Linked DNA regions of Drosophila melanogaster. The protein of the gene in region 3 interacts with the protein of the main gene of each other region in a pairwise test. Each region holds a gene or a part of one and is shown on either strand. Other genes may lie near its edges.

Region 1 (9,305 bases), on a different chromosome or scaffold from region 3:
TCGCCCAACACAGGAGACTCTAGATCCCAGGGGCCCGTATTCCTTTCATCGGCCATAACTCCACGATAACTCCAACTGCCACGGAAATTCGGATTCGAAAACCACGAGCTGCGAACGAAACGCTTTGGCGGCGGAATTTCGAAAGTGAGGAACTTTCGGAAAAGCCAGTACAAGCCCTCAAGGACTTTCTCATCGGACAGGGTCTCCATGTGGCGTCCATGCGGACCATTCACCCAGGCCATCAACATTCGGGGCTGACAAGTGATCATGTGTACACCGGTTATACCCTCCACCCAGAAATATTCCGTCTTTCGCAGCTCTATCAGATCCTCTTCCAGCCAAAAGCAGAAGAAACCCACCCAGCCGTCAGGAAGAGGTTGCTTCTCATACTCCAAATACAGTTTGTTCACAGTGCCCAGGGTGAGGCTGCGAATGGCATTCACCTTGGCTGCGGGCAGCGGCGGGACGAACAGTTTCTCGTGCTGCTCCTGCAGGACTCCCAGGGAAACGGTGCAGATGACGTGGTCCGCCTCGAAGTAATCCCCATCCTGGCAGCGCAGGATTACCTTACGGGGGCACGCCAACTCAATCTTGATGACCTTCATATCAAGTTGAATACGTCCTTCCAGTAGACCCAGCTCTTCTGGCGTATCCGCGCTGACCTTCATCAGCAGCCGCAGGAAGCGCCGGTAACCCTTCGTTCCCCAGTGGAGCAGCTTGTCGCCATCACATTCGTGGTACTCGATGTGTTCCCTAACGGAGACCTCGAAAAGATTGTCCGCACCAATAATAGAGCTTTCATGCTTCGCAAATGTATTCAAGGCCTCACTAGCCACATCCCTATTCACTTGGGGTAGCTCGGACTCGATCTTGCGCCAGAAGGTCTGAGTCAGGTGGGTGCCAAAGGATCCCACAACCGGGTGAGGTCCACTCGGCATGCTCTTCACAGCAATGTCGTGAATCCTGCAGGCCAACTCATGTGGAACCACCTCCTTGTTGGATCTCACCCTCTTTATGGGACTGTAATAGTCGCCTGTCTCGTGCAGGATACCCATATCCTTGACCATGTCGTATACACAATTTTGCTGCTTTCCATGACACCACTGGGCTCCCAAATCGATGACGTTGTCACCAAAATACACGGTGTTGATCCGCCCGCCAATGCGATCCTCCGCCTCCAGGATCTGAACATTCTGGAAATTGTTTTGCAGGAGTCGAGTGGCGGCGGCTATGCCCGAAACTCCTGCTCCGATTATGATTATCCTAGAGGAGGCACGGCATTTTTCCATTTTGAAACGTTGGTAGTTAAGTTCGACAGAAAGAGCAGACGATCAACGAGCTACTGATGAAGTTTGTGGGCTAACTTGGCAAGTGATGGATGCTGCATTTCAATGGCTTCCACTGCGGTTGGAGTACAACTTTTTGCACACTCTGCTGGTTTTCAGCCACAACCATGTAACATTGAGAATCCGGGTCACAGAACATAAAAGTCGTCTTAGATAATATTGCTTCGGCTTTTATTACTTAATATGATGCGTAAAAAATTATGTTTCATAAATAACTTAAAAGTGGCATTTTTTTCTCATTTGGCGCTGCTATTGCAAATAACAATTCCACAAACAAAATGAAGGGGAGCTCAATAAAAAATGTTTGCAAAATTTTCAAATACGATAGGTTTAAGCTCGATTACTTATGGTGCTGCCAACCCAATCGAAGTCGAAGAAGTGCTTCACCCCTGCGAGCTATCGACTCAGTGCGAAAACGATAGAAGGCTACGCAGGCAGAAACAACAACAACGTCCCAGGCGAAGAAAATATATTAAATCCCCTGAAAAACCACGAAAATCCATGAAAATTGCACCCAACTAGGAATTAGAAGTCACTCCCTACACCAGCATGGCATCCGCTACGGTAAGAAATGTATGTATGCCGCACTAACACCTAACAAGCTGCTTGATTGGGGTGCCATTCTGACAATACGATCCGAGGTTTTCCACGAAAACTCATATTTTACAACGAGGCAAGCCAAACTAATCCCACATACGTGTTACACAGGTGCCGCTGCTCGACGATGACACGATACCCTTTGGCGAGGAGGACGAGATGCGGGATCCCAGTCGCGCGGGTCAGAAATACACGTATGCAGAACCATAATGTTTGTTGATCAATTCCATTTACCCCAACCCAACCCAACGCGTGTACTCCACAGGCACCCGTACGTCACCTTCTTCCACCTGTTCTTCAGGGGCGCCGCCATCCTGATCTATATGTTCTGCGGTTGGTTCAGCGACTCCTTCATCACCAGCTTCGTTTTCGTGGTGCTCTTCCTGTCCGCCGACTTCTGGACGGTGAAGAACATCTCGGGCAGATTGCTGGTCGGTCTCCGCTGGTGGAACTACGTCGACGACGATGGCGTATCGCACTGGGTGTTTGAGTCAAAGAACGTGAGTCACGAGCATAGCTAACTAGATTGCCCTTGATAATGAAACGCAGTCTGAATCCTACCAGAGTCGGGTCAACAAGAACGAGCAGCGCATCTTCTGGCTGGGACTCATCCTCTGTCCCGTCTTCTGGGGCCTCTTCTTCCTGTTCGCCCTATTCGGCCTGAAGTTCAAATGGCTACTGCTGGTAATGATCGCCATTGCGCTGAATGCCGCCAATCTGTATGGCTACGTCAAGTGTAACTATGGTGCCAATAAGGATCTGAATTCCGCCGCCACAGACTTTGTGAAAACGCAGTTCTTCAAGAATGCCGTGGACATCATGACAAGGCCCAGTGGCGCCCCACCGCCAACAAATGTACGCCCGACGGGAGTCGTTTGAGCTGGTGGAGACGCCATCTACTAAGTCACCTTGCCACCGTCTGCTGCAGCGCATTCCAAAGAGTATTCGACGCTTCTTCTGGCGCGGACCACGACCTTCGATTGGCATCGCTGTCTGTGTACCATATGTAAAACTTAATTTAGCCATACTGCAATCTACCATAATCATTTCTTACTTTTACTCGGATTAAAGGACCGCATGTGCGTGTGACATGCAACCAGTATGCCACATGGTTTTATTTCGAATGGTTTAACTACAAATTTAAGAATAGTTATTAAAAGGGATTCAGATATAGCGAAATGTGTTTTATTTTTATTCTCTGCATCTTAATCTGAGTACGAAAGACGTGAAGCAAATAATTTTCATTACTGTTAGATTACTATAAATTATTTAGTTTATTTTCTTTTTTGTCATTTTAGTTTCATATATGAAACTGTCGTAAACATATATTTAAAAATGAAGCGTAAATATAATCATTCCTGCAAAACTAAACTAAATGAAATTGCAAAACAATTTAAAAATATTTTTACATATTAAAAAACCTGATAATTTTTTAGTTCTTTGTTAGTGGCAATAACGGTTCATAGGCAAAACGCAGTGTGGTAGTGGACGCCACAACAAAGCTTTCCGGCTCAGTGAGCGACGGGCACACTGGCACAAAGCACAAAACAGAACAGTCGGTCGGAAACGGAATCGAAAAGAAAGAAAGAAATGCAATCTGTGCCGTAAGCGGGGGCGTGGAACAAAAGTTTTTGCAGCCCGGAACGAGTTTCATTGTTAGCTGCAGAGCAGCAGTGCCGTAAGTCCGCCAAATCCCCGCCAGAACCGGTGACGTACGCACTGCTGTGGGTTCAAAAAAGGGGACTCGAAAGGCGGGATAACCGTGGCGAAGAAGGGCGGAGGTGGAAGGCGGCGTCGACAGAAGCAATCAAGTGGCAACAGGAGATAGCCGGGGCAAAATGCAAAAAGTTAATTAGTGGGGGCCAAATCAAATCGGACACCCCGCCGAGGGCGACACCATGGAATTCGCCGACCTTATAAAGACCCCCAAGCTGGACGGTGTCCTGCTGCACGACCCATCGAATGCGGGGGCGTCGGGTGCAACAGTTGGCACACTGTGCATCACAGGGCACCATTTGCTGCTCAGCGCCCGCCAGGAAACCAGCCAGGAGCTATGGGTAAGTGGGTTGAGGCCTGCCCACCTAATCCGATGTGCTTCGGCATCAGTGGAGCGCTCATAATTGAATTAGAAATTCATCATGCTCATCCCCCTCTTTTCAGTTGCTCCACAAGAACATCGACTGTGTGGAGAAGAAGCCTAGTTTGTCGCAGAATATCGTGGTCGGTGGGATTATCACCCTGAAGTGCAAGGACCTGCGCATCATTTCGTTGGAGATAAAGTGCGGCAAGGAGTTCTTCAACGTGGCCGCATCGCTGGAGGCACTCAGTGCCATCCAGAACACCGAACTGCTCTATCCATTCTTCTACCGGCCCATGTACTCGATCCTAGAGGACGGCTACACGATGTTTAGGTGGGTACACGGCTTCTCCATAACTAACAAATTGGCTACAATTCAATTAACCTCCCCATCCAAACGACAGGCCCGAGCTGGAGTTCGCCAAACTCATAAGCGGGGTTGGCATGGGCGGTGCGTCCTCGCCGAATGTGGCCAACATAACAATTTGCATGCCATCAACTTCGACATCGACGTTGACTGTGGGCGCCGGCATTCCCCATCCTCTGCAAAATGGCTATGCGATAGAAGCCCTTGCGTGTGGTGTTGGTGGTGTGGGAGGTGGTGCGCTTCAAAGTCCCCAGGCCTCCTGCGAGTGGCGCATCACCAACGTCAACAGAGACTTCAGCGTCTGTGCCACATATGGCGCCACGCTAATTGTACCTAAAGCAATTACGGACGAGCAGATAGTGCTCTCCGCTGCGTTCCGCGATGGCGGCCGCTTCCCCGTGCTCAGCTACAGGCATGAAAATGGCGTAAGTCATTGCATCTACATCATCAAATTTTATTAAATTAATTCAATGATTCATATTTGCAGGCCACACTAATGCGCAGCTCCCAGCCGCTGTCCATTCAGGGCATCAAGCGCTGTAGAGCTGACGAGGCTATCCTTAATCTGGTGCTGGGTCGCAGTCGGAAGGGGTTCATCGTGGACACTTGGGGTAAGGGCAAATCGAATACGGAAACTGACCTGCACTACTCGCAGTGGAAGAAGGTAAATCGTTCAATTGGAAACGTCAGTTCGCCCGCCTCTATTTTGGACAGCTTTGCTCGGCTTATCGAAGCTTGCAACGATTTGGGATGCAGTACTGATAAATGGCTATCGCGACTGGAGAACAGCGGCTGGCTTAGTCTTGTGCTGAACTCACTGAACGCCTCCTGTGTGGTGGCCCAATGCCTGGACCAAGAGGGAAGTCCAGTGTTAGTGCACGGTGCTAAGGGGTTGGACTCCACGCTTATAGTCACCTCACTGGTGCAGATCATTCTCAATCCGGACTGCCGGACTGTAAGGGGGTAAGTAATCATATTCTCCTTACCTTGAAAAAGATATTTATGCCGTGTTCCCTTTGCAGCCTGCAGGCTTTGATAGAGCGCGAGTGGATCCAGGCGGGACATCCGTTCGCCTCGCGTCATCGCTACTCATGCTATACACCAAATCAGACACGCAATAAGACCTCTGGTGCCACCTTCGTCCTATTTCTGGATTGCATTTATCAGCTTTACACGCAGTTCCCCTGCAGCTTTGAATTCAGCACTCAACTGCTGATCCTTCTATTTGAGCACAGTCACTTTTCGCAGTATGGAACTTTCCTGTGCGATTCAGAGCGGGAGAGAAACGAACTGAATGTGCACACCAGGACGACGAGCCTGTGGTCTTATTTGAACCGGCCTGATGTCCTTCAGACATTCTTGAATCCGCTGTACGAGCCTAATGCCAATGTGATATGGCCATCGGTGGCGCCCATAAGCTTAGAGCTGTGGAGTGGTATGTTTAAGAACTTAATATATGAAACATTACTCATCAAACATGCATTTTAGATCTCTATTTGCGGTGGGTGATAGATCAACGCAGCTCAGTCACAGTCATGTCGCAAATTCAGGAACTTGTCACCCGCGAGAAGGAACTCAGGACTCAGGTAAGTCCACTTGAGTATTGATAGCGAAATGCTTACTGATGACATGTATCTTTCAGGCCCTCAAGTTGCGCAAACAAGCCATGGAGCTCGGCCAGGAAGTGTCCAACCTCATGAAAAGTGGAAACGATACATAGTCGGCTACCTCAAATGTTCTCTATCTTTTAATCTCCTGCATGATATACACTTATTTTTGATACGTTCTGTTGCAAGATTTCGACAATTATTTAAGCACATAGCAAAACTAATGTTAAGTCACTAAAAGTTCCATTTACAAGAAATTATGCTGAAGGAAAAAGAAAATAAACAAGGTAATTAAATTATTGGATAAACCATAGGATCTGCTTTTGGATCAACTGAAACACTCAATTTTAGACATACATGTGTCCATTTTTACTAACTATACTTCTATTGCATAAGTTCGGCAAAACAGTAAGAAAACTCTCCTTGTAAAACGCTCTCTACTCTCAGACTCAGATTGGGATTCGAAACAGCACAATGCAACTATCAAATATTTGGGTCAATTTTTGACGCATTTACTTTTATGGAATTTTTAGCGTATAAGTCTCCAAAATTACCTATTTATAGTACTTACTTGTGTCAGTTATTTAGTGGTCAACAAGCCACAGATCAAATTAAGTATTATAAACTCAAAAGATTTGCCTTTTTCGAAAAATTGTATGTAAATTTGATTAAATCGCATAAATTTAAAGCTTCAAAAGCGTTTACATTAAAAATATGCTGTGCATGCGTTGGTATATCTAAAAACAAATATTGTAAATTATATACTTATAAATGTTTGTAGCTGTTATTCATTGTGCGTCGATTTCGTATTGTGATCAAATTTGAAATGACAGAAATTTGTATGTAATTTACATTTGTATTGTGCGTATTTTGAGTAATTATCGCTTAAGTGCAATAAATACGTGTTAATTTGCAAACGTTAGCTCTTTTAAACTCGCAGGATTCTATGAGCACCACTTTAGAAAAAAGAACTTTCAAATGCAGTTTTGTATAAAGAAAATTGGTTTATTTTTGCTAGACTCATTTAAAACAACATTCTGTTGTTTCGGTTCACTATTTATTTCGCTGTAAAAACGTATATAAAACTCACTTTAATCAAGTACAATTAATCCCCAATTTTCGATTGTACGCAATCCTCGACAACAATAACAAATTAATTTGAAAGCAAATGTGTTCTTCAACGAAAGAATGCAAAATGAACGAAGGAAAGCTGAGGAGAACATAGAGAAACGAGCTGTCCCATCGAAGTTGCCCGTGATCCTGTCTTAGTTGCAGGCTTCGTCCTCCAAGAAGAAGAACTGGCCGGAGCGTTTCTGTTCTGTGTCCTTGACCGAATTGTTTTTGTTAATGCGGGGTCTGAAGTTGTTGGGATCGCGACGGAACGTAATACCAAGCAGTTCGAGGAAGCGGTTCATGCCATTTAGCAGCGACTGCGGCGAAAAGGCTGTCGTCTTCACTGAAGGCTGACCCTCGATCACGATGACACGGTCGGCGAGGTAGGTGGCCATGATGAAATCGTGCTCCACCACAAATCCAGTTTTCTTGGCGTGCAGAATGTAACTAAAACGAGATACCATCAATATTTGTGTGCAGATTTAAAGTCTATGTAAAACATACCGTTTGATAACCTTGGCGGCCACCAGACGCTGCTCTGAATCCAAGTAGGCAGAGGGTTCGTCGATGAGGTAGACATCCGCTGGCTTGCCAAGACACAGGACCAAGGCGACTCGCTGCAACTCACCACCGGAAAGGTTCTGCACCTCCTGGTCCATGATTTCCTCAATTTTCATGGGTTTCATAACATCGGCAATAAACTGAGGATGCACGTAGGCGTCACGAATCTTATCGTGCAATAAATGGCGAACATGATTTTGGAATTTCGGGGAAATCTTCTGGGGCTTGTAGGAAATATTCAGCATAGGCAGTTCCACCTCGCCATCGGGTTGGAGGTTACCGGCCAGCATGCGAATGAACGTCGTCTTTCCTGTACCGTTCTCGCCCAGGAGCACCAGGATCTCGGAGTCGCTGAAGTGACCCTTTTCCACCGTCAACTCGAACTTGCCCAGGGTCTTGACCATGGCGGGATATACGTAGTGGTTCATGCGCTTGATCTCCTCCTCCGTAGCGGACTCAGATACTTTGAAAGTAAGTGACTCAGTGCGGAATCGCATGTTTTCGGTGGGCACAAAGCCATCGAGGAAAATGTTGATGCCTTCGCGCACAGAGAAAGGCATAGTAACCACACCGTAGCAGCCGGGAACTCCGTAAAGGCAGCATATAAAGTCAGACAAGTAATCCAGCACAGACAAATCGTGCTCCACCACAATAATAAACCTGCATATTACAGAACCACGTCATAATTTTAAACAATGGCACATTATTCATCAACTTACTTGGTGGGATGCAGGAGTGATCGAATGGTCAAGGCAGCGTTCAGACGCTGCTTAACATCCAAATACGAGGACGGCTCGTCGAACATGAAGATGTCTGCATTCTGTATGCATACCATGGCGATGGCAAAGCGTTGCAGTTCTCCGCCAGAAAGCTGAGCGATCTCACGATCACGGATGTGCGATAGATCCAGCATTTCACAAATCTTAGTCTGCAGCTCCCTCTCGTCCTTCTTATCCAGAAGATCGCCCACAGCGCCACGCACCGCCTTGGGGATCTGATCCACATACTGCGGCTTGACCAGCGCCTTCAGATTGTCCTCCAAGATCTTGGTGAAGTAGTTCTGCAGCTCGGAGCCGCGGAAGTAGCTAAGGATCTCCGTCCAGTCGGGCGGATTGGCGTACTTCCCCAGGTTCGGCTTTTGTTTCCCCGCGAGGATCTTCAAAGCGGTCGACTTGCCAATACCGTTCTGTCCCACAAGACCGAGCACTTCACCGGGACGCGGAATGGGCAGACGATGCAGCTTGAAGGAGTTCTTGCTGTATCGATGCGTTGTGTGCTTCTCCAGATTGCTGGGCAAGTTGATGATTGTGATGGCCTCGAAGGGGCATTTCTGGGGAATTGAAAGCACGGGTTATTCCGGGAACTACAGCAGTTGTAGGTAAGCTGACCCACCTTGACGCAAATACCGCAACCGATGCACAGCTCCTCGGACAACGAGGCTATCTTGGACGTGGGCGTCACCTCGATGCAGAGCTTGCCCATGCGCACCACTGGGCAGGTCTTCTTGCACTCCTGCCGACACCGTTTGGGCTTGCACTTGTCATCGCTGACGATGGCAATACGCGTCTGCTTGTCCACCTCCTCGTTCTCCTTTCTGCGCGACATGCTGTTGATAGTTTTCAAATGAGCAAATTAAA
Region 2 (6,439 bases), about 21 Mb from region 3:
TGGAGTCCCTGCCGGGATCCATGGCAGCGATGGCGTAGCAGATAGCCAGCAGAGACAGTCCGAAGACGACCATGAACCACAGGATGATGTTGAAGATCACCGGGTAGTCGCTGCCGTAGTAGACGGCCAGGTTGTAGGGATTGGTGGTGGAAGCGGCAATGGTATCACGCTTGGCACGCGATGCTGCCACGTCCTTCTCCGTGGTCTGGACAAACAGAACCGAGTCGCTGGACTTCTGGGAGGCAGCAAGCAGGCGGCTGATAGCGGCCGACAGCAATTTGTTGGCCTCCTCCACGGCCACGGACTTCTCGCCATGAGCCTTGGCCACTCCATCGACGGAAACGCGCAGCATCAGGACATTCGAGGGCTTGGCCATCTCAGCCAGATGATCGGCGGCACTGTTGATGAATCCAACCTCCTGGAGGAACTGCTTGTCAGCGGTGTGCAGAGAGGGGTTCAGGTGCTTGGTGGGCTTGGCGGCTGGGGCCTCGAAATCACCAAAGCAGGACTTCCAGGCTTGAACCTATAAAAAATATGTGGTTAAATATACATTGGTCTCTACGTTATATGCGTAAGGGGGAAGGCACTATGATTCACTCTATAAATCATGTGATTAATTAATTTTTAAGGTTTAATAACTATCTATCATATTTGTGGGAAGTTATAGCGGATTGTAGAGAAGCTTCTTTAAACGAACTTTCAGATGAAGATCATGCTTTCTGCGGTTTGACAAATTAGCTAACTGACTAACGAAATGTGCTTTTCCCCTTTAAGACACCACTTACGCCATCGTCGAACTGCTCAAAGTTAATATCGCAGACGGGCTCGTTGGCTGCCTCCAGTTCGGCGGCCAGGGCGTTCAGAGAGGCGTCCGTTCCGGAGCCTGTCAGCTCGTAGGTCTTGACGTTGCCGGCGGTGGTCACGTGACCAATGCCCTGGACATGCACCAGAATGACGCCCTTGGCCAGGTTGAAGGGATCGTTGATGGTCAGTCCGTTCCAGTTGGTATCGCCGCTGACGGCGTTGCCCATGGAAGCGTAGAGTACATCACCCACGTAGTGGCTTTCCAGTGCATCGTTGCCCTTGAAACTGATTGCCTTGGGACGGTTCAGCACGGTGAATTCGCCAGAGGCATTGACTGCAAAATAGGAAGACGTAGCTCATAAGTTCTGTAGAATCTAACATATTCGTCTCCTTTGTCCAAGATTCTGCGCATGCATGTGGGGAGCCCTTTGGAGTCCCGAGTTCTGGGTGTCACCACCCCCAAAGAGGAATCGATGAGTACAGAATATCCACTTTGTGACCGCTTTCCACTTGCTGCGCATGCATTTTACTTGATTATAGATGGTAGATCTACTTACTGGCCGCTATAAACAGCGAGAAAATCACGAAAACTCTCAACATTTTCAGTTTTCCGCTGGACTTTTAATCATATGACGAACGACTGCAAAGAAAACCTTTTCTCTTCCCCGATATCACCCTGACTATCATGTGATGAACAGGGTTGCTTGGGGTCAGTTATCGAATGGGTATCAGTAGGGTTGTCGAAGAGTGCGAACTATCGATTGTACTAGTATTTCTAGTTTTATTTATTATGTATTTTTATTTATTCAATAATTTTGATGTATGTAATATTTATGTATGTAAGCATTAGATTACATCGATTTTAATAACACTTGTAAGCATTGCATTATTACATTATTATTTAATAAAAAGATTCGAGTAATCAGGCTTAAAATAATGTATTTTGTAATCACCTTTACAAAGTTAAATGTAATAAATCTATGTTGAATTCAAGACAGACATTTTCGTCATCTTAACAAAAATTAAGGGTTCACCATGCGGACATTTAAAAGTTATCTATAGTTAAAATACATTTTAATCGCGTAGGGCGTCGATTTCCAATCGAAGCTTCTGAATCTTAAGCAAAGTCAGTGTGCGCTCTACTTTTAGATTGTCCGTTTCCGTTTTAAGAAACTTGGTCTTACTCTGGAACTGACTGATCTCGGCTCGCGCCTTTTCCGCTCGCAATGCAGCTAAACCATTTCTTGGCCTGGCCTCGATGATCGTCGCCGATCCATTGGCTAAGTCATCCGGGTTTTGCTGCAATATGTAATGCTGTTCGATAATCGTTAAAATGTCTAAGATACTTATCAAATTGTGAATATTTACTTCTTTGCTTTCGTCCAGGTACTCAGAGTATTCGGGATTTTTAATTTCAACGTTGGAAATTTCAAATTCCAAATTTTGCTCGCCAGACTCTTCCGTTTTGGTCAGTTTCCTTTTGCGAATTTCTCGTTTCACTCTGGGTTGCTCCTTGGGCGCCTCAGCCTCGTCAGCATCGTCCAGAATTTGTTGTATCTGGAATGAAAAATAACCATAATGTAAGTATTTGATTTAGTTTACGCATTTTTCACCTACTCACCTTAACAATGATCTCCTTGCCTTCGTTGGCATTATCCAGGCCGCCATCATCGTCGCCCGAAATCTTCTGGATCTGCATAAAAAATATATTTTAGAGCATTAGCGATATATAAGTAACATTTAATTTACATATGAATGTTCATATGAGACGATATGGGTTAGTAATTTCAAAAGTCAAATCATTAAGCACTATATATTGTATTCGGACAAAGTTCGAACCGAATATTTGTCAAATTACTTGGGGTTGACATTATAGTGTGCAAAGTATCTTTGGGATTTATTTTGAAGTGCATTTGTCCACTGACGTCCTACACCAGACATATACATACATCCAATGTATCCAAATTGGAAGCATCGAATTACCTTTATCCTAGGAGCCTCGTCATGATCCTTCTCGTCGGCAGAAGTGTACACTACAGCGCTTCTACTTCGCCGGGCATCGCAGGTTTGCCTACAATTTAATGAGAATTACTTGACGCATGTAAACACAATGTTTGGTGTATGTTTGTATGGTTACCTGTGTAACGATAGCCGGGATAGCGCCGTATTTTGGAGTACTTTTTCGCAGAAGTGACAGGTGGCCGAGTATTTGCCATTCTCCAAATTGGCGGTAAATCCGTGGGTTCTGTAAAAATCCTCGGACTTCTTTCGGGGCATTTTAAAATACAACAATCGCAGTAAATTCCAATGTACTATACACGATGCAAATAAAAATGGCTTCACTACAGATGCATGTAAAATCCACGCTTGCATACGATAGACATGTATCGACATATCGATAAAACCATTTTGATATTGATCAGTTCGATGCGTTTCTTTTAGTCAAAACGATATTTAATAAAGATCAGAAATAATTTTATATGTATATAACGGGTGAAGTAGTAAACTTTTAAAAGGATTTGCTTCTTAATTTTACTTATATGTATTTGTAATATATGAACGCCCTTCAATATAGTCTATTTTTTAAAGGTTCCACGCATATATTTTCAGATACATTCATGGTACTATTTACTGCCCGATTAATTAATCGTTAAATATACAAAGCTAAATATTAAACTTATTCTTTTCAAAAATTTGTTATTTATGACCCAGACAAAGTCATTTTTTACAATTCAGTCATTTCACAGATGATTCAAAAGTAAAAATATAATTAATATTCAAATGCAAGCGACCATCGATAGAATTCGATGGCATGTTATCGATACATCGGTTGAATTTACAGCAGCAACACTGTCACGTAATTTAACACAAACCGTATGTAAAAATGTCGCAAGCAAAAAAGGCCAAGCGACCCTCGGGCCTTTCGAAGGATGAAACTTGGAAGAAACTGGGCTTTCTACCCGCGTTCAAGGGCGGCAAGGATGGGGAGCCGAAGAAGTACCGAGCGCTGTGCACCCACTGTCGGAAATGCCAATCAAACACCAGCATAGACAGGCTGATTATCCATAGGTATGTATTATAATTTTTCCCGCTCATTTGCAAGTACAGTCCGTAAAATGTATGTATGTGGATACAGGAAGTCATGTCTCAAGTTCCGGGAGGATCTAACCGCTGAATTCGGTATTAAGGTGGAGGCTACGGACGCCGCTCCGGCAGAACAGAGCTCTTCCGGCTCCACAATTGACTTCACTTCGAATATTCTACTGGACAAACTGATCGACGAGGATGATAGCAGTGCACGCAATCAGGAATCCAACTTGGTGAGCTACTTGACCGATCTGGATCAACTGGTGATCCCGTCATCCGACGCCAATCGACTGCAGAAGGATCTGATCAAGGCGGAAACGGAGTATCTGGTGGTCAAATCCGAGTACTTTACCAAGATGAACGAGATATCCGAACTGAAACGCACCGTCACCTTGTTGGAGGCGAAAAAGACACAGCTGGAGATCGCCAAACTGCGTGCTGAATGCGAGTAGCCTAAGCTTTTTAAGTACACTACATTTTAAATTTCTTGAGAATATACAAATTTATTTAGATAATGAATAATAGTGATGCGGGGAGTTCGATTGAACAATTTATAAAGATGCCCGTCTACGTCGGCCTGCTGATTAAGACTACGGCCCAACTGTTGTCGCATCCCATGGAGCTAGTTCGTGTGAATATGCAGGCGAACGTAATCCACCATAGCCGTTTAAGCATAAACCATATGTTCCGGCTGATGGCCCGTCATGGATTACCCGGATTTTATTACGGCATTGTGGCTGCTTGTCTACGCTGTACTGTTCACACGATGTCAACGTACACGTTGTTCTACAACTTACAGGATAACAAGTACGTCCTAATGCTGCAGCCGTATAACACTAGCATGGTCCTGGGTATAACCGGATTTTGGGGCGGCGTATTGGCAACACCGTTCGCCAAGCTGGCGGTCATTCGGCAAGCTGATCTTACGCGCGGATCCTACGAGAGGCGCAAGTAAGAATATGGCCGAATAAACATAAATAGGCATTTTCCGGTTTAATTTTGAAACCAGCAAATATCTATATGTGTATCGTTTAATCTTCCAAAGCTATGAAAGTTAACCCTTTTTTGTAGCTATCGAAATTTCTGGAGAGGACTCAAATGTATGTACGCGAAGGGAGGATTTACTTACCTATTTACCGGTTGGAAAATAAACTCGATTAGTAGCACAGCCGTGGCCGTGCTGTATACTCCTATTAGTGATAAGGTCCATACAGTGATATCATGGTTCCACAGACTCGACGAGCCGTGGCTTAGCGATCTCATAACTATGGCGCTAACAGGCAGTATTATCACAGTCATTATGACACCAGTGGATGCGTTGGCTACTCTAACGTTAAACGAATCCTCACACTATGGCCGCACTTCCTATCCATATCTGTATCGGAAAATTATCCGAAAACATGGCTACAAGGGCTTCTTTTTTGGATGGAAACCGGCACTAATGGCCCTTATCCCACATACTGTTTTGGCAACGTTTGTATATCGCTTCTTACTAGATCGCTATATAACATAAAGACCCCCATATTTATTCACAAATCTTGTGGTGCACAATTGACAGAGCCTCCTTGAATTCTGATAGTTGGGCGGGCATTGTTTCGGTTATCCCGTTTTCCAGTTGGAAGCTAAAGACTTCGATGAACCGCGAAACGAGCTGGGAAAAAATTGATCTGTTAGATGTAACCAGAAATATATATAGACATAATAACATACTTTTAGAACTGGAGGTGCCTTCTCGTGGGCCACCAAACATTCCATTAACACAGCCACAAACTTCCCGTAAAACTCCGGCAGGTGCGGATGCAAAGCTTGCAGAGGAATAGGCATGATGCAAACCAGATAGCATCTTAGCAGTTGATCCAGTAAAGCAGTGCATACCTCGACACCTTGGAGCAGCTTGCTCGACTCCAGGACAAGCATTTGTAGGATGGCCTTGGCCCAACGATAGCTGGTGCTAACATTTAGAGCAAGGCATACGTCCCGACACGCTACCAATTTATCTGGTTCGCATATATCCATGGCCAAAGCAGTTTTCACATCGCTGCGATTGATGGTGAAGTAGTATCCTAATCGGATGATATACTGCAGCAGGCAGATTAAAACTTTTGGGCTGGAGGCCATTGTCACGTTCTGAATGAGGCGTTCCAGCATGTCGTCGCATTGGTTCCACTAAAGTTGCCATCATATTTATGTTCAGTAACTAGAGTAAGTTTCAAGGTACACACCGTGAAAGCATCTAGATCTACAAAGTGATCAAGACAGAAATACAGGCAGTTCCAAACAGATTCGATGGCTTCAATTGAGTCCATGTTGTAGACATCCTTGAGGGCATGGTCATAGATCACACTGTGCACGTTCAGTTCCTGAATGTCCTTGGAGTCCTGAAGGATGAAGTGTTTCATTGAAGGTCTTGGCGCTAAAGTGGTCTAACACGTACGCTAAATTTTAACATCACTGAGAAGATCTTGACCCCAAGTTGCTTGTAGATAGTATCATAGCATTCGCGCACATTAAGACCCACGGATAGTGCAAAAGCCAACATTTGGGTGGA
Region 3 (7,174 bases):
TTCTTACCCGTATCAACTGGGCCTGTCCCATGTTACATGGAGCATGCTCCCACTCGGTGGCCAACCGATGGGCTGCGTCATTTCCATTTCTTCGGGCTGCCACACGACGTGCCCGCGAAGATGAAAAGCCCAGATCCGAGGTGGTGATCACTGGAGACGGAGAGCCGGTTTCGATCGAGAGCGGGAGATGGAGATAGAGATAGAGGTGGAGAATTGGCCGCGAAGATTAGTGGGGTCTCGCGAAGATTTCTCGGGTCTCGAGAGGAGAGAGGTGCAGATAGCATAACGAAAGCCGGCGGATAGTCTCGAATGCGCTGCCAGCGATTCGCGAGCGATGCCTATTTACTATATAATCGGGTCCCAGCAGGCGGGCGGTTGTTAGTGCTGCTCTTTCCGCGGCTCCAAATCATTCCCGCAGTGGATGGCCCCGCGATCGGTTCGTTTCGTTTCGGTCTTTGGTATCAGATCAGATCAGGGTATCGGTTTCCCGGAGAGTGTTCGCTGCTCGAGTGAGAGTGCCATGAAGCCCTAGAAAATAAGGAAACTAAGTCCCACGAGAAAGCACAAATCCCACACGTTCAGTATACAGTGTAAATAATCCACGCAAAATGAGCCAAAGAGCTGACAGCGGTCACACGAATAGTGGCTTCAATGGTGGATCCGAGGTGTCCTTGGACATACCCACCAACACGCTGTACCACACCTCGCGCGACTGCATTGTGCAGGAGGAGCAGGGTCCCGATGAGAGCTGCCTGGAGGGAACTCAAAGCTGTTGCTCAAACCTCTGGTCCAACATCTTCAGGAAGAAAACGCTGTACAAGCGATTCCCCATCCTGGTGTGGCTGCCCCAGTACAAAAAGGATTATATTTTCGGTGACATAGTGGCGGGCATTTCGGTGGCCCTGACGGTGATACCCCAGGCCCTGGCCTATGCCGGAATAGCAGGACTGGATCTGCAGTACGGCCTGTACGCCTGCTTCCTGGGCTGCTTCATATACATATTTATTGGGTCCAGTAAGGATGTGCCTATTGGACCTACGGCCATATCAGCACTGCTGTCCTTTCAAATCGCTGGAGGCAGTTGGCAGATAGCCACCTTGCTAACCTTCCTCACAGGTCTCATTGAGATCCTGATGGGAGTTTTCCGGCTGGGATTTCTCATCGATTTCGTTTCTGGTCCCGTGGGAGCGGGATTCACGAGTGCCGTGTCCTTGATCATCTTCAGCTCCCAGATGAAGGACTTCTTGGGCATCAAAACAAGTGGCAACACCTTCCTGCAAGTGTGGATTAGCATTGTGAACGATATACACAACATCAGCTGGCCGGACTTCATCTTGGGAATCGTCTGCATTACTCTGCTCCTGAGCCTGAGAGCCCTGGCCAGTTGTACCCTGGGTCCCAAGGAGGGAAAAACCACAGCGCAAAAGCTTCTGACCGGCATTTTCTGGACCATCGGAACTGCCCGCAATGCCCTGCTGGTCTGTGGAACTGCTGGCCTGGGTTACTGGTTGTTTGTCAACGGCAAGGAGAATCTCGTGAAGACAGTTGGCTTTGTGCCCAAGGGATTGCCCTCCTTTCAGCCACCACCCTTCCACATGGATGCCGTTGTCAACGAAACCACAGGAGAAGTCCTTCAGGAGGCCCAGAGCTTCTGGGACATGGTCAGCACCCTGGGATCTGGGCTCATTGTGGTTCCATTGATTGCTCTTCTGGAAACTATGGCCGTTGTTCAGGCTTTCGGTGAGTTGTCCGCTTATTTGATATCGTCATTTTCATGAGTTGGATCTCGTTCTTCCCCAACGAGTTCAAGAATCTTCAAAATTCAAGTAGGATATGAATCATCAGTAATTGGTTTATATTTAAAGCTAATTTTAAATCGGATTGACGAAAGCAACGAGTTTTTGTTTATAACCCTTATACCCTTATAACCCTTGTTGTCCCAAATTAGTGTCAACTTTTGAATGACACGTGCAAATATTAAAATAGGTCAGTCGCTTTATTCCTTGGGGAAGAACATATTGTTTTGCTTTCGAATTTCATTTGACTGGATTGTAATATTTTCCCCGTTTGGTTTTTTCCTTTTAGCTGATGGCAAACCCACAGATGCCACGCAGGAGCTGATAGCCTCTGGAGTGTGCAACGTGGCCAACTCCTTTGTCCAGGGTCTTCGGAGCAATGGCGGCATCGCCAGGGGAGCCATCTTAAATGCCAGTGGAGTGAGGACCCAGCTGTCCAATCTCTACACCAGCGTGATAGTGATTATTGCCCTGTTGTACCTCACGCCCTGCTTTTACTACATTCCTAAGGCGGCTCTGGCCTCCATTATTATTGCGGCGGTTATTTTCATGGTCCAGTACCGAGTGATCAAGCCCATGTGGCACAGTAAAAGTGAGTTGAAAATAAATAAACCACACTCACATGTTTGTTACCATACGTGTGTATTTCTCCTGCCACAGAAACCGATCTCATTCCCGGCCTGGGTGCCTTTTTCGCCTGTCTGGTTCTGCCCCTGCAACTGGGCATCCTCGTGGGCATCGGCATCAATGTGGTCTTCATCCTCTACCAGGCAGCCCGGCCAAAGTTGCGCATCGAAACGCTGGCGGTGAGTCATTCCATCCGAAGTATCTCAATCTATACCTAGAATAGCTTCAGTGGCTGAAAGTATGCTACAGATTCTTAAGATTCGGATGGCATTTTTATCTCATGTTCATCTTACTGTAGGAATTAATATACTGCTAGTTGATATGCCATAGATGATTCCTATGATATTAATAAGCCGACCTATCTTTATAGACAACTACTGGTCTGAAATACCTAATGCTAACTCCCGATCGCTGTCTGATCTTCCCCTCGATGGAGTTTGTGCGCAAGGTGATCAACAAGCAGGGTCAGAAGTCCACACTGCCGGTGGTCATCGATTGCACCCACATCTATGGAGCGGACTTCACGGCCGCCAAGGTGATATCCACCATGGTGATGGACTTTAAGCTGCGGGAGCAGCCGCTGTTCTTCTACAACCTGCAGCCGCGAGTGGCGCAGGTCTTCGAGGGTCTGAACAAGGATCTGGTGGTCATATACGATATTAACACCCTGCACGCCAAGCTGGCGGAGAAGTCGCCCCCGATCTGAGGGATCCAAAGAAGTCCGAAGGGGGAACAACGCTGCAACCTCGTTATGCGATAGTCTTAGCCCAAGTCTAGTTCGTAGCTTAGTCTCTGTCCTAGACCTAGTACTAGCTTAGTCTTGCCACCGAGGCCAGCGACTAAATCTAGATGTGGGCTGCCCACGCTCATCGCCTTAGTTGAAGGTACCATTACCATTCCACGGCTAGCCCAGCTCACCTTAATTAGCATTTAAGATGTGGCAATCTTCGCAGATATCTGCACAATATTATTTATTTGGCCTCTAACGGCGAAACGCTGTGAATTCCAGAGTCAGGGCTCCTCCCACCCGCGATTTTGCCGCTGAACATAGTATTATTTTCGGGTAGCGAACGGCGAGTTTTAGCATAAGTACTTAAATAAATCAAGTAAATATAAAATAGTTAAGTGGCGTTAAGAGTTTTACTTGATTGGCCAAGAAAGTGGAAATAAAACACTCTCATTAGGTATTATACGTTGTTACCAACTACTGGCTTTATTAAAGATTTATTCCAAGATTGATAGACTTTATATCTAAACAACATCATGATTTCTGGGTGTCTTTAATCTCAAACTATGCTGTGATTTTATTTGGTGCTTCGTGTGGGAAGTAAATTTTTTGGTTCGAAGGCATCAATAACAAGAAAGCATTACTCGAGATAAGATTGAATGAATATGTTTGACACCTATAATAAAATAATATTTACGAAACGTGTGGCAATAATACGACTTATCTTAAAATTTTTAGTCTGTTCAAGAACCCTTAAGTTAAAGTGTGAAATGAAGTTTCCATCCCTAACTTGTCAAAATTTCCCAGCACTGCGTAAAAACTGTCGTCTCATCAGCCGGATTCAGTTCGTTCAAAAAAATAAGCAAAATTATATCAATAGCTCGGGAAGTTGTTGAGCGCTATACAAGGAAAGAAATAACAATTTGCAGTTCAACGTAATAAATTACTAGCTAGCCTTTTTTGAAGTGATTTTTTTTTCCAGAAGAAATATTAATTTTACCAGATGAGCAAAGACGTAGGAATCCCAGAGGGTTCCGAAGGCTTTCATTCATATTATACGCAGAAAATATCAGAGCTTCAGTTCACTGTGAACGAACGCCAAAAGAACTTGCTCCGTTTGCAGGCTCAGAGAAATGAACTCAACCTCAAGGGTAAGGTTCTTAGAATGAATATATCCTTTATAAGATTATCCTGCCTTATCCACAGTTCGCTTGCTGCGCGAGGAGCTGCAGTTGCTCCAGGAGCAGGGGAGCTATATTGCGGAGGTTGTGAAGCCCATGGACAAGAATAAGGTCCTTGTGAAGGTTCATCCCGAGGGCAAGTATGTAGTGGATGTGGACAAGACCATCAATATTAAGGATGTGACACCCAGCAGCAGGGTGGCCCTGCGAAACGAGAGCTACACGCTTCACAAAATTCTGCCCAATAAGGTGGACCCATTAGTATCCCTTATGTTGGTGGAAAAGGTGCCCGACTCCACCTACGAAATGGTGGGTGGCTTGGACAAGCAGATCCAGGAGATCAAGGAGGTGATTGAGCTGCCTGTAAAGCATCCGGAATTATTTGACGCCTTGGGCATTACCCAGCCAAAGGGAGTGCTCCTCTACGGACCGCCTGGAACTGGGAAAACCCTGTTAGCCCGAGCTGTAGCCCATCACACGGAGTGCACTTTTATACGGGTTTCAGGGTCGGAACTGGTTCAGAAATTCATCGGCGAGGGTTCGAGAATGGTAAGGGAGCTTTTTGTGATGGCTAGGGAACACGCTCCATCCATAATATTCATGGACGAGATCGACTCGATTGGTTCCGCTCGACTGGAAACCGGAACGGGGGATTCGGAGGTCCAGCGAACCATGCTGGAGCTTCTGAACCAACTGGACGGCTTCGAGGCTACTAAAAACATTAAGGTGATCATGGCCACCAATCGCATCGATGTCTTGGATCAGGCATTACTGCGTCCTGGTCGAATTGACCGCAAGATCGAGTTTCCGCCACCAAACGAAGAGGCCAGATTGGATATCCTGAAGATACATTCTCGCAAGATGAACCTCACCAGAGGCATCAATCTTCGCAAGATTGCTGAAGAAATGCCGGGGGCTTCTGGTGCTGAAGTCAAGGGTGTTTGCACCGAGGCGGGAATGTATGCTCTGAGGGAAAGACGGGTCCATGTCACCCAGGAGGACTTTGAAATGGCCGTCTCCAAGGTAATGATGAAGGACTCCGAGAAGAACATGTCCATCAGAAAGTTCTGGAAATAGCTTATATAACTAATTTTAAAACATTTGAAAGCTCCATTATCAGACTGAATATAATAGTTGATATAAATAATACAAGTTTTGTAGTATATTCTTGATAGAAAAGGACAGGAGTGTAAAAACAAAGACTTTACTCAAGTGAAACTACTAGATTAATGTTCGTAATGGTATAGATATAACTTAGCTAATTTTATTTGGGCGTTGTAAGACTAACTTCTAGCTAGTGAAAGAGTGCTGGCCATGCTCACGCATTCACTAGTTCCGTTTCCGGACTCGGCGTGGTCGAGTGAGTCCACGGACCTCGAAAGATCCGGCTCGTCGGGCCGGAGTTCCTGGTTGAGGGCATGGGTGTTGTAGCAAAGCACCAGCCTCGTGTTCAATCCCTCGAAGACACTCACTACACTGGGCTTCAAGTTGAAGAATATGATCTTTTGCTGACGCCGGCGGAAGTCGTCCACAATGGAGGATATTACTTTGGCGGCTGTGAAATCCGCAGCATAGATATAGGTGCAATCGATGACCACTGGCAATGTGGATTTGCTGCCCAACTTCAGTACCATATTTCGAACAAACTCCACCGAAGGAAAGATCAGACATCTGTCGGGGGTGATCTTCACGAATCTGATACCTTGTTGGGTTTCCAGTTGCTCCAGCGTGACCTTTGGCCTGGCTGCATAGTACAGGATAAAGAGAAGATTCACACCAATGGCCACCATAATTCCAATTTCCAGGGGCAGTACCAAACAGGTGACGAAGGCCAGGATGCCAGGCACTAGATCGGAACCTGCAACGTTGAAGGTAACTTAGGAATATAAATACTAATCAAGGAAGTCTCAACTCACGTTTGCTGCGCCACATGGGCGTTACGACCTGGTACTGAACCTGGAAGATCACTGCCGATATAATAATCGCTGCCAGCACCGCCTTGGGAATGAAGGCGATGTATTCGGTGAGAAAGTTCAGGGCGAGCACTACGATAACACCGATGTACAGGTTGGACATATTGGTGCGACAGCCACTGGCATTATTCACCGCCGATCGGGCCAATCCTCCATTGCATCGATATCCTGAGAACAAGGAGGTAGCAATGTTGCCGACTCCACAGGCAATCATTTCCTGGGTGATATCTATCTGTTTACCCTTGGCGAAGGCCTTGCAAACCGACATGGTTTCCAGTAGGGCCATTAGGGGAACGATAACTAGTCCATATCCCAAGCTCTGCACCATTTCAGGAAAAGTCTGTCCCTCAACAGCAGGGATCCCAGCTGTTTCGTTGCCGGGCTGCGGTTCGATGGAAAACGGAGGAAGTGAGGGCGTGGGCATTCCCTTGGGAATATTTCCAGTTAGTCTGAAAGGATTCGTTCCATTGGCATCCAGGTACATGGTAACAGCGGTAAACAGAATAACCACTGAGGCATTCCTCGAGGTGGACAGAAACTTGATCACCGTGTTCACTACTCGCTGGAACCCGTTCCTTCTCGATTCGTCCTTTGGACCGATGGTGAACTTTCCGAGACTCCTCATGGCCAGAAGCAGGATAACACATCCAAAGCCCAAACAGGTGTCGGCTACGCGCACGTTTTCGATATCCCGGAACATGCTTATCCACGTTGCCAAAAAGGATCCACCATCACTTTTGACACCCAGCATCGAACGCATCTGGGACGTCGACACAATCAAGGCAACGGCACTCGTAAATCCTGCGCTCACCGGTCCAGAAACGAACTCCACCAAACATCCAAGCTTGAAGATGGCCATCAGAATCTCTA
Region 4 (6,809 bases), 3.3 Mb from region 3:
TTCAGAAGCGCCGGCCGCATGAGCACAATGGCGAGCCCAGCTGCCAGGGTCTAGATGAGGTGAACCGCATGTTCCGGAATTACTGGGATCCCACGGCCTACTGGGTGTGCGATAAGCAGGGCACACGGGCTCGTCTCCAGCGCTGTCCGCAGTCGCAGCTCTACTCCGAGGAACTCGGCCGTTGCGTCCACTATGCCGATTGGGCCTGGACGGATCCCAAGGAGCCGGCTGGCCGAGCCAAGATCAGTCAATCGGTGTCCACAAATTAGTGATATCTTACGGCTAAACTTAATTTAATGCTAGTCTAAGACAACCAACCTCATTAGGCTTACGTCTATTTTTACAAAATACCTTTATTTTTAATGAAAATAAGAAAAAAAATCAGTACAAAATCAAAAGTTGCTCGAGTTTAACAATTTTGGGGCATTGTTTACTATTAACTTAGCTACATGGAATGCACTTCCGGTTGTAAAAAGGAATGGAATGTTTATAGTGCCTAAGCAAAACAGAATTATATGTTAGTCTACAACATATAAAGCGTTGCCCGTCGAGGATCATATGAGCAAGGCCCTCGGCTAGTCTGAATTTAGCTACCTTTCGACTAAAATTAACTGGTTTCGACAGCCTGAGTTGGGGCATGATAAATAAGAAACCTTTGAAAATTCCCCAAAAGTGGTTGAGATGTTGGAGGGAAAAAGATAATAATCCTAATAGGTTTTGACTGCGTGAAGAAACTAATCTCGCGTCCGGGAATATGCCCGATTAACTCAGGAGGAAGCTGATGCGTCTGCGATCTTAAAGCTCCACATTGACGCCTTGCTTGTTGATGACCTTGAGCTTCTCCTTCTTGGGTGGCTGTGTGTCCGAGGGGATATCCTCCTCAACGGGCGCGGGTTTCTCAGGCACTGTGCGCTTGACCTTCGGTTTAGAAGGCTCTGGAGTAGGAGTAGTAGGAGTAGTAGTAGTAGTTGGCTTAGGAGTAGTGGTGGTTGTTGTAGTCGTAGATGGCTTAGCTGTCGGCGGCTTAGTAGTTGTTGGCTTCGGCGTGGTTGTCGTAGTGGTGGTAGTGGTCGTTGGCTTCTTGGTTGTCGTTGTGGTAGTGGGCTTTGGCGTGGTTGTAGTAGTTGTCGTCTTGGTAGTGGGTTTCGGCGTGGTAGTTGTCGTTGTGGTAGTGGGTTTCGGAGTGGTGGTGCTAGGAGCCGCCTTGGGTTTAGGAGTGGCTTTGCTGGGTGGCACACCAATGGACGCCTCCAAGCCCTCGCCCTCGACGCGAACATTGCGCACCTTCAGCGTGGGCTGCTTGGCCTTTGGCGACTTGACACGCGCCAGGTACTGATTGGTGGGGGAGCCCAAGAACAAGAAGTCCTGGAACTCCAGGACGTGTGATACCGTGGCGGCCGACTTGTCGAAGCCATGCAGCGAGCCCACAATGTTGCCGTTCCAGTCCACACGCACGACAGTCGTTCGCTTGGGCGCCAGCACAGTGATGCTCTCCATGTGTCCCACGAAGTGAACGAATCGCTGCGAGAACTTGTTCGGATATACGCTGTTCAAGTAGCGGAAGGGCAGCTCGAACAAAGCCAGCATGCGGGCCAGGAACAGGCGCACGCTGGGGAAGCGAGTGAACAGGGTGAAGCCGTTGGGATGCTCGCTATCCGCGCTCTGGACCAATGGCACCCAGATGCCCTCGGCGTCGGGTGTCAGGTTATCGGGCAAACCGGGCAGTCCGTCGACGAACACCTCGCTCTGACCGGCCTTCGCTCCCTTCAGGTGATACTTTGTCAGACGCATCGCTCCGGTTTCGGCTACCACGATGAAGTCCTCGTTGGGACTGAGGGCCAATCCATTGGCGAAAGCCAGTTCGTCCAGCAGCACCTCGCTAACATTCTTCGAGCGATTGTATTTGAAGAGACTGGAACGTAGAAGAAAGCAAAGGCCGTTAGAGTAACCATAAGACCAGATCGAGAAACCGGTTTGCGTTCGTCTTACAGTCATACTTCTGTAACTTGTCCCTTAATTATAAGAATTAAGCTAACTTCAGTAAGCGTGGACTCTTAATTGAGATTAATTAAGTGACTCCCTCGATTCCTCCGCTACAAACATTTGAAATAATCTTAAATGGGTCACAAAACACGTTTTATAAAGAAATACATTGTAATGGGGTCCCACTGTAGCCCTATTCCGAATAGCTATCACTTTGAATTCTAGCAATATTAGACAGTGTCGCTATAATTTGCGATGAACTCACCGGCCGGAGGGGTTAGCAAAGCTGGCAAAGACGAGGTCTTCGATGGTGAAGTCCGACGAGGAGTCCGTCCAGTAGACGTCGCCCTCTTTGCTCACGGTCACGCCGTTGAAAATCTTGGCAGGGCGGTTGATGGACTTGCCGGCAAGCTCCTGGGCGGGCGAGACCAGCAGAGTCTTCTTATTGGTGCCCAGGTCCACCTGCCACAGGCCGTAGTAGGCGTCGGCGATGATGAGGTTGTTGCCCTGCGTATCAAAGGCCAGTCCCAGCGGACGGCCGCACCGGGACTCCTCGTAGATGTCCTCTGCAAGGGGATTACTATTATAAAATGAAATTCCCTTTATAGGACTCGAAAATACGCACCGCAGGGCTGGCCGATCTTGGTGACATGCGTGACATGGTTGGACGTTAGCTTGATGACCTCACCGCCGTGGATGCCGGTGTAGATCTCGTTGTTGCGGGCTATCAGGCACTCCGGGCCGTAGACCCGCCCCTCCAGCAGTCGCTCCGCTCCCTCCAGGTGAAAGTTCGATTCCAGCGCACCCTTCAGGTCTTTGGGCGGGGTCACACTGTACGAAGTGGCGATTTCTCCAAGGATTAACACGGGAATTACGTCAATTGAAACGGGCGGCACTTACATATAGTCCTTGAAGGGGAAGGTGGTGCGCGGCGGCAGACCGGGCATTAGGATGATGAGGAGGAAGAAAATCATGAAGTTCATGATCCTCACGCGCAGCGCATATAGCAGGCCCATGATTGATTCCTTGTGCGTCCGCCGATCACAAATTACAGCCCAAAAACCCGCTAAATTTAAGCAATAACCCCGAAGAAAGCGACACGACGGCAAAGTTCAACAAGAAAAAAACGTAAAAGTCATCATCCGGACCGGTAGAGGTGGCCGAAATATCGATATGACTATCATTCGTTGATTGAACGTACCACATCTTACACTCTGCTACAAAAATTAATTGTATGCAGTTTCTAAAAACTATGTTATTAGGGATGCAAATTATAACAAGCATAGTTGGTTGAATAACATCATAATTAAAGTACCTGTTAGCCTGGTACCTGATAACTGTTTTAAAAATTCCTTAAAACTATCGCACAATGTTGAATGTGACCATCAGATACCGAAGGCTTTTCGCGCTACCTTGCGACAGTCACACCGCTGCTAGTGTTTTTGTTTTGGGAATTCCAAAACGTCGCAGTTGACGATGAGCGATAATAACAACGCGTTGGCCACCAAGGAAGACGTTTTCGGCATGGAGCACGACCAGGACCACACCAGCAAGCACTACTCGCGGTGCAGCAGTGCGGGCAGCACGCACACTCCGAACTCCTCGGCGCACAATTCAGGTGGGCGAACGCTGGTCAAGATCGGTCACGCTGATCGGTCAAGAGTGCGGGGCGGGGGCAGCTGATAAAGCAGTGGCATTGAATTACTCGCTATCAGCAGCATTTTATTACATTGTACTCATGTTTCGGTTCTGTATCGCAGACGACGACGACGATAGCGGCGATGCGCGCCATTCCGCGGCCGCCAATTCCACGCTGAGTTACAAGGAGCGGAGAAGGGAGGCGCACACCCAGGCGGAGCAGAAGCGGCGCGATGCCATTAAGAAGGGCTACGACAGTCTGCAGGAGCTGGTGCCGCGCTGCCAGCCCAACGACTCCTCCGGCTACAAGCTCAGCAAGGCTCTGATCCTGCAGAAGTCCATCGAATACATTGGCTACCTTAACCAGCAGAAACTCAAGCAGGAGGACGAGGGATCGGCGCTACAAAAGGAGGTAACAGCGTTACGGATCATTAAGAACGGCTATGAGAACATGCTACAGCATCAGCAGGCGAATCCAGGGCCGGAGGAGGCACGACTCACCGATGAGGCCAAGTTTCAAGTGGTAAGTATGGAGCGCTTACCTCTATTATAACCTCTAGAATCGCCACCCACCACCCTCCTCCGTAGTTCCAGGCCATTATGGAGGAAATGTTCGAGACATTTCAACACATACCCATGGAGAACTTTAAGCAGCTGACCACCGGCATTATCCCCTGGCTGGAGGAGCACTGCAAGCCGCACATCCTGCGCAACATACTCAGTCGTACCTTGCAGCAAATGGCGCAGGAGGCTATGGAAAAACAGGAACTTCAGGCCATGGAGCAGGAGTCGAGCGAGGGTTTCAGCTGATCGCGCGGTTAGTTCATATTCTCATTGGTTATTTTAGAAATCCCTGTTTGGTAGATACTTTCGTTACGTTTACTGCGTACAAACATTAAATGCGTCATTTGAATAGTTGTAAAAGCGTTGACAAGGAAAGATAACTTTTTGGCTTAATGATTAAAGATTAGATAAAACTAGATTTGCTAATGCTAGCCGAGAGACTCGACGAGAGCCGCTTTATCCGCACTACCCAGCTGGCCTAGCAGTTCCAGCAGCACATTCCGTGTGTACGGCTTGAAGCGACGAACTCGCTCAGTGACATCCAGCGCGGTGAGCAGCGCTTCAAGGAATCCCTCCAGACGTCCCGCGCTCCACACATGACGTGCTTCGTGCTTTAGTTTCAGCACGCCCGATGTCAGCGTGTAAATCAGTCCCTCGTAGAAGTTCTCCTCCTCCAGATTCGCGGCCAACTTGGCGCTGGCCAGCAGCGCCGCCGGCAGATCGCAGCGGAATTCGTGCGACCGCACAAAGCAGGTGGCCGCCAGTTGGCGGACCTGATCACATTTGTGCCGCAACAAATGCCAACTGAGTCGGCGGAAGCGAATGAGCAGGGGATTTGGCTCTTTCCCGCCCGACGTACGCAAGTGCTCGACCTTGGACAAGAAGGCCAGAAAGAGTATGATGGATGACGTGACCTCCTGGCGATCACAGCACCTCAGCATGTGCTCGCAAGCCTTGGGCAGCAAGCAGCCCAATTCGTCGTAGTCCAGCTCACTGGGTTCCCAGGCGGGTCGTGTGTCAAACTCTGTAGCTTGGCGCTGGCCGACCAGCTTGCCCAGATTGGCGCCAAAGAGTTGAAGTGCCGCATTCGAAATGGTCCATTCGGGGTTGGTGATGTGCTCCATGGCCACCAGCAGAATCTCATTGTAGTACTTGCTCATAGCTGGCCTCAGTTCTGTGTCGCGCACAAGAACGCAAAGGTAATGCAGTACCAATGCCTCCCAGCGATCGTGATTGCTATCGAGACAAACAGTCTCCGCGGTTTGGTTTTCATTTAGCCTCTTAAGAATCTGCTGCACAGCGCGATGGAGCAGCAGCCGCTGTCGTGGATTATCGTTCTTCAGCACGTGAAGGAACATTATGGCGAAGCCGGCACCACGTCGTGTGGTGCTCACTTGACGGCTTTCAGTCAGCAGCTCTCGCTCTAGGCAGTCGTGAAGCATTTGGAATCCCGAATCGCAGCTGTCTAAGCTACTGGTGATGGCACGGGTAAGTCTGCCAATGCTCAAGCCGGCCGCCTCTATGGCTCCTTTGTGCCGGCAAAGCGTCAAAACGGAAACATTAATATTGAGGCAACGACGCAGAGTCTCGGTGTTAACTGTTTTGGCAGACGTTTGCAATTGGTAACACCCAATGCTGGTGGCCAGATCGCAACAGCCCTGCAGAAGGATAAACAAATGATAAGTTTATCAAGAGTTAAGAAATATATCTACGCACCTTCAACGTTAACCAGAAGCTCATCAGTAAGTACTTTCGACAAGCCTCTTCCTCCCCATCACACTTGAAGGAGCTTTCGCTGACCAGCAGCTGGAGACTCTCGTCCATGTCCTGGAAACTGGCTGCTGTGGCTGCCTCTTCCTGTCGCCGGGCGTTGGCCACATTGAGGAACTTGAGAATGCCGCTGAGAATTCTCTCTAGCAATGGCAACAAATCCTCCAGAGGCGTCTCCACTGCCAAGCCAGCCTTGACCACCTCGTCCAAGGCGCAAAGATAGCCAAAGAGATGTCCTCCGCTCTTGGCGGTCTGCAAAGGATCTTCGAAGAAGGGATCTAATTTACCGGTAAGCCTTTTCAGGCACTCATCAAATATCTTTGATCCAGCTTGCTCTTTTGTAACCGCCAACTGTGCGTAGAGGGAAACCAAGGAGCATTGGTCCATATCAGACGTGTGGCACAGTTCGAAGCACCGCTCCACGCACTTTTCACTGTCCACATGGCCCATCTGAATCAACAGGGAGACCGTTAGGTCCAAAGCATCATCGAAACCTTGTGGATTGTTGAGGGTTTCGAAGAGCTGTTGCGCCATTTCCTTTGGACGAAAGACTCCGTGCTCCAGGAGAAATATGCCCATGCGCTGATTCTGCTGAGGACTGCACATTTTTGCATTTTTTGCGACTTCTTCTGCATATAGCGACCTATTTAGGATTTCCAGCAACTTCAGGGCAAAGATCTTGGGTTGATAAACCTCGCTGTGGATGTCCCGCTCAATCAGATGCTGAAGATGTGAAAAGAATCGCTTGATATTCTGAGCCAATGCATGGCCACCCACTCCGATGTCCGCCTTTAGAACCTTTTGAAAGTGCTTGGCCGTGTGATTGATAATCGTTGGCATCTTGCCCAGCATCG

The links.
Region 1: the proteins of Rpt6R (region 3) and CG5026 interact in a two-hybrid assay, tested with the Drosophila melanogaster proteins (one large-scale study listed by BioGRID).
Region 2: the proteins of Rpt6R (region 3) and Ibf2 interact in a two-hybrid assay, tested with the Drosophila melanogaster proteins (one large-scale study listed by BioGRID).
Region 4: the proteins of Rpt6R (region 3) and bigmax interact in a two-hybrid assay, tested with the Drosophila melanogaster proteins (one large-scale study listed by BioGRID).

What each region holds. Positions count from the first base shown.
Region 1 is NT_037436.4:8,965,074-8,974,378, forward strand, and holds CG5026 (uncharacterized protein), read left to right. Parts: upstream 1-3,454; 5' UTR 3,455-3,841; coding exon 3,842-4,000; intron 4,001-4,103; coding exon 4,104-4,354; intron 4,355-4,424; coding exon 4,425-4,812; intron 4,813-4,874; coding exon 4,875-5,350; intron 5,351-5,409; coding exon 5,410-5,822; intron 5,823-5,875; coding exon 5,876-5,973; intron 5,974-6,029; coding exon 6,030-6,107; 3' UTR 6,108-6,679; downstream 6,680-9,305. Other genes in the region: CG5653 (uncharacterized protein), read right to left, coding at 1-1,289; CG5021 (uncharacterized protein), read left to right, coding at 1,896-1,919, 2,055-2,137, 2,209-2,443, 2,493-2,822; pix (pixie), read right to left, coding at 7,260-7,554, 7,612-8,328, 8,388-8,998, 9,061-9,273.
Region 2 is NT_033777.3:9,255,690-9,262,128, reverse strand, and holds Ibf2 (insulator binding factor 2), read left to right. Parts: upstream 1-3,627; 5' UTR 3,628-3,688; coding exon 3,689-3,873; intron 3,874-3,940; coding exon 3,941-4,343; 3' UTR 4,344-4,402; downstream 4,403-6,439. Other genes in the region: ATP6AP2 (ATPase H+ transporting accessory protein 2), read right to left, coding at 1-523, 786-1,138, 1,362-1,404; Ibf1 (insulator binding factor 1), read right to left, coding at 1,879-2,118, 2,173-2,361, 2,426-2,497, 2,788-2,875, 2,942-3,081; CG16736 (uncharacterized protein), read left to right, coding at 4,451-4,842, 4,963-5,404; CG16734 (uncharacterized protein), read right to left, coding at 5,417-5,542, 5,602-6,057, 6,114-6,269, 6,326-6,439.
Region 3 is NT_033777.3:30,580,503-30,587,676, reverse strand, and holds Rpt6R (regulatory particle triple-A ATPase 6-related), read left to right. Parts: upstream 1-3,979; 5' UTR 3,980-4,153; coding exon 4,154-4,301; intron 4,302-4,356; coding exon 4,357-5,408; 3' UTR 5,409-5,479; downstream 5,480-7,174. Other genes in the region: CG9717 (uncharacterized protein), read left to right, coding at 609-1,740, 2,086-2,388, 2,457-2,602, 2,794-3,129; CG9702 (uncharacterized protein), read right to left, coding at 5,615-6,189, 6,248-7,174.
Region 4 is NT_033777.3:27,285,120-27,291,928, reverse strand, and holds bigmax (bigmax), read left to right. Parts: upstream 1-3,402; 5' UTR 3,403-3,459; coding exon 3,460-3,601; intron 3,602-3,743; coding exon 3,744-4,144; intron 4,145-4,209; coding exon 4,210-4,431; 3' UTR 4,432-4,563; downstream 4,564-6,809. Other genes in the region: CG3348 (uncharacterized protein), read left to right, coding at 1-269; Hmu (hemomucin), read right to left, coding at 796-1,912, 2,249-2,549, 2,609-2,814, 2,884-2,999; CG3368 (uncharacterized protein), read right to left, coding at 4,614-5,843, 5,902-6,809.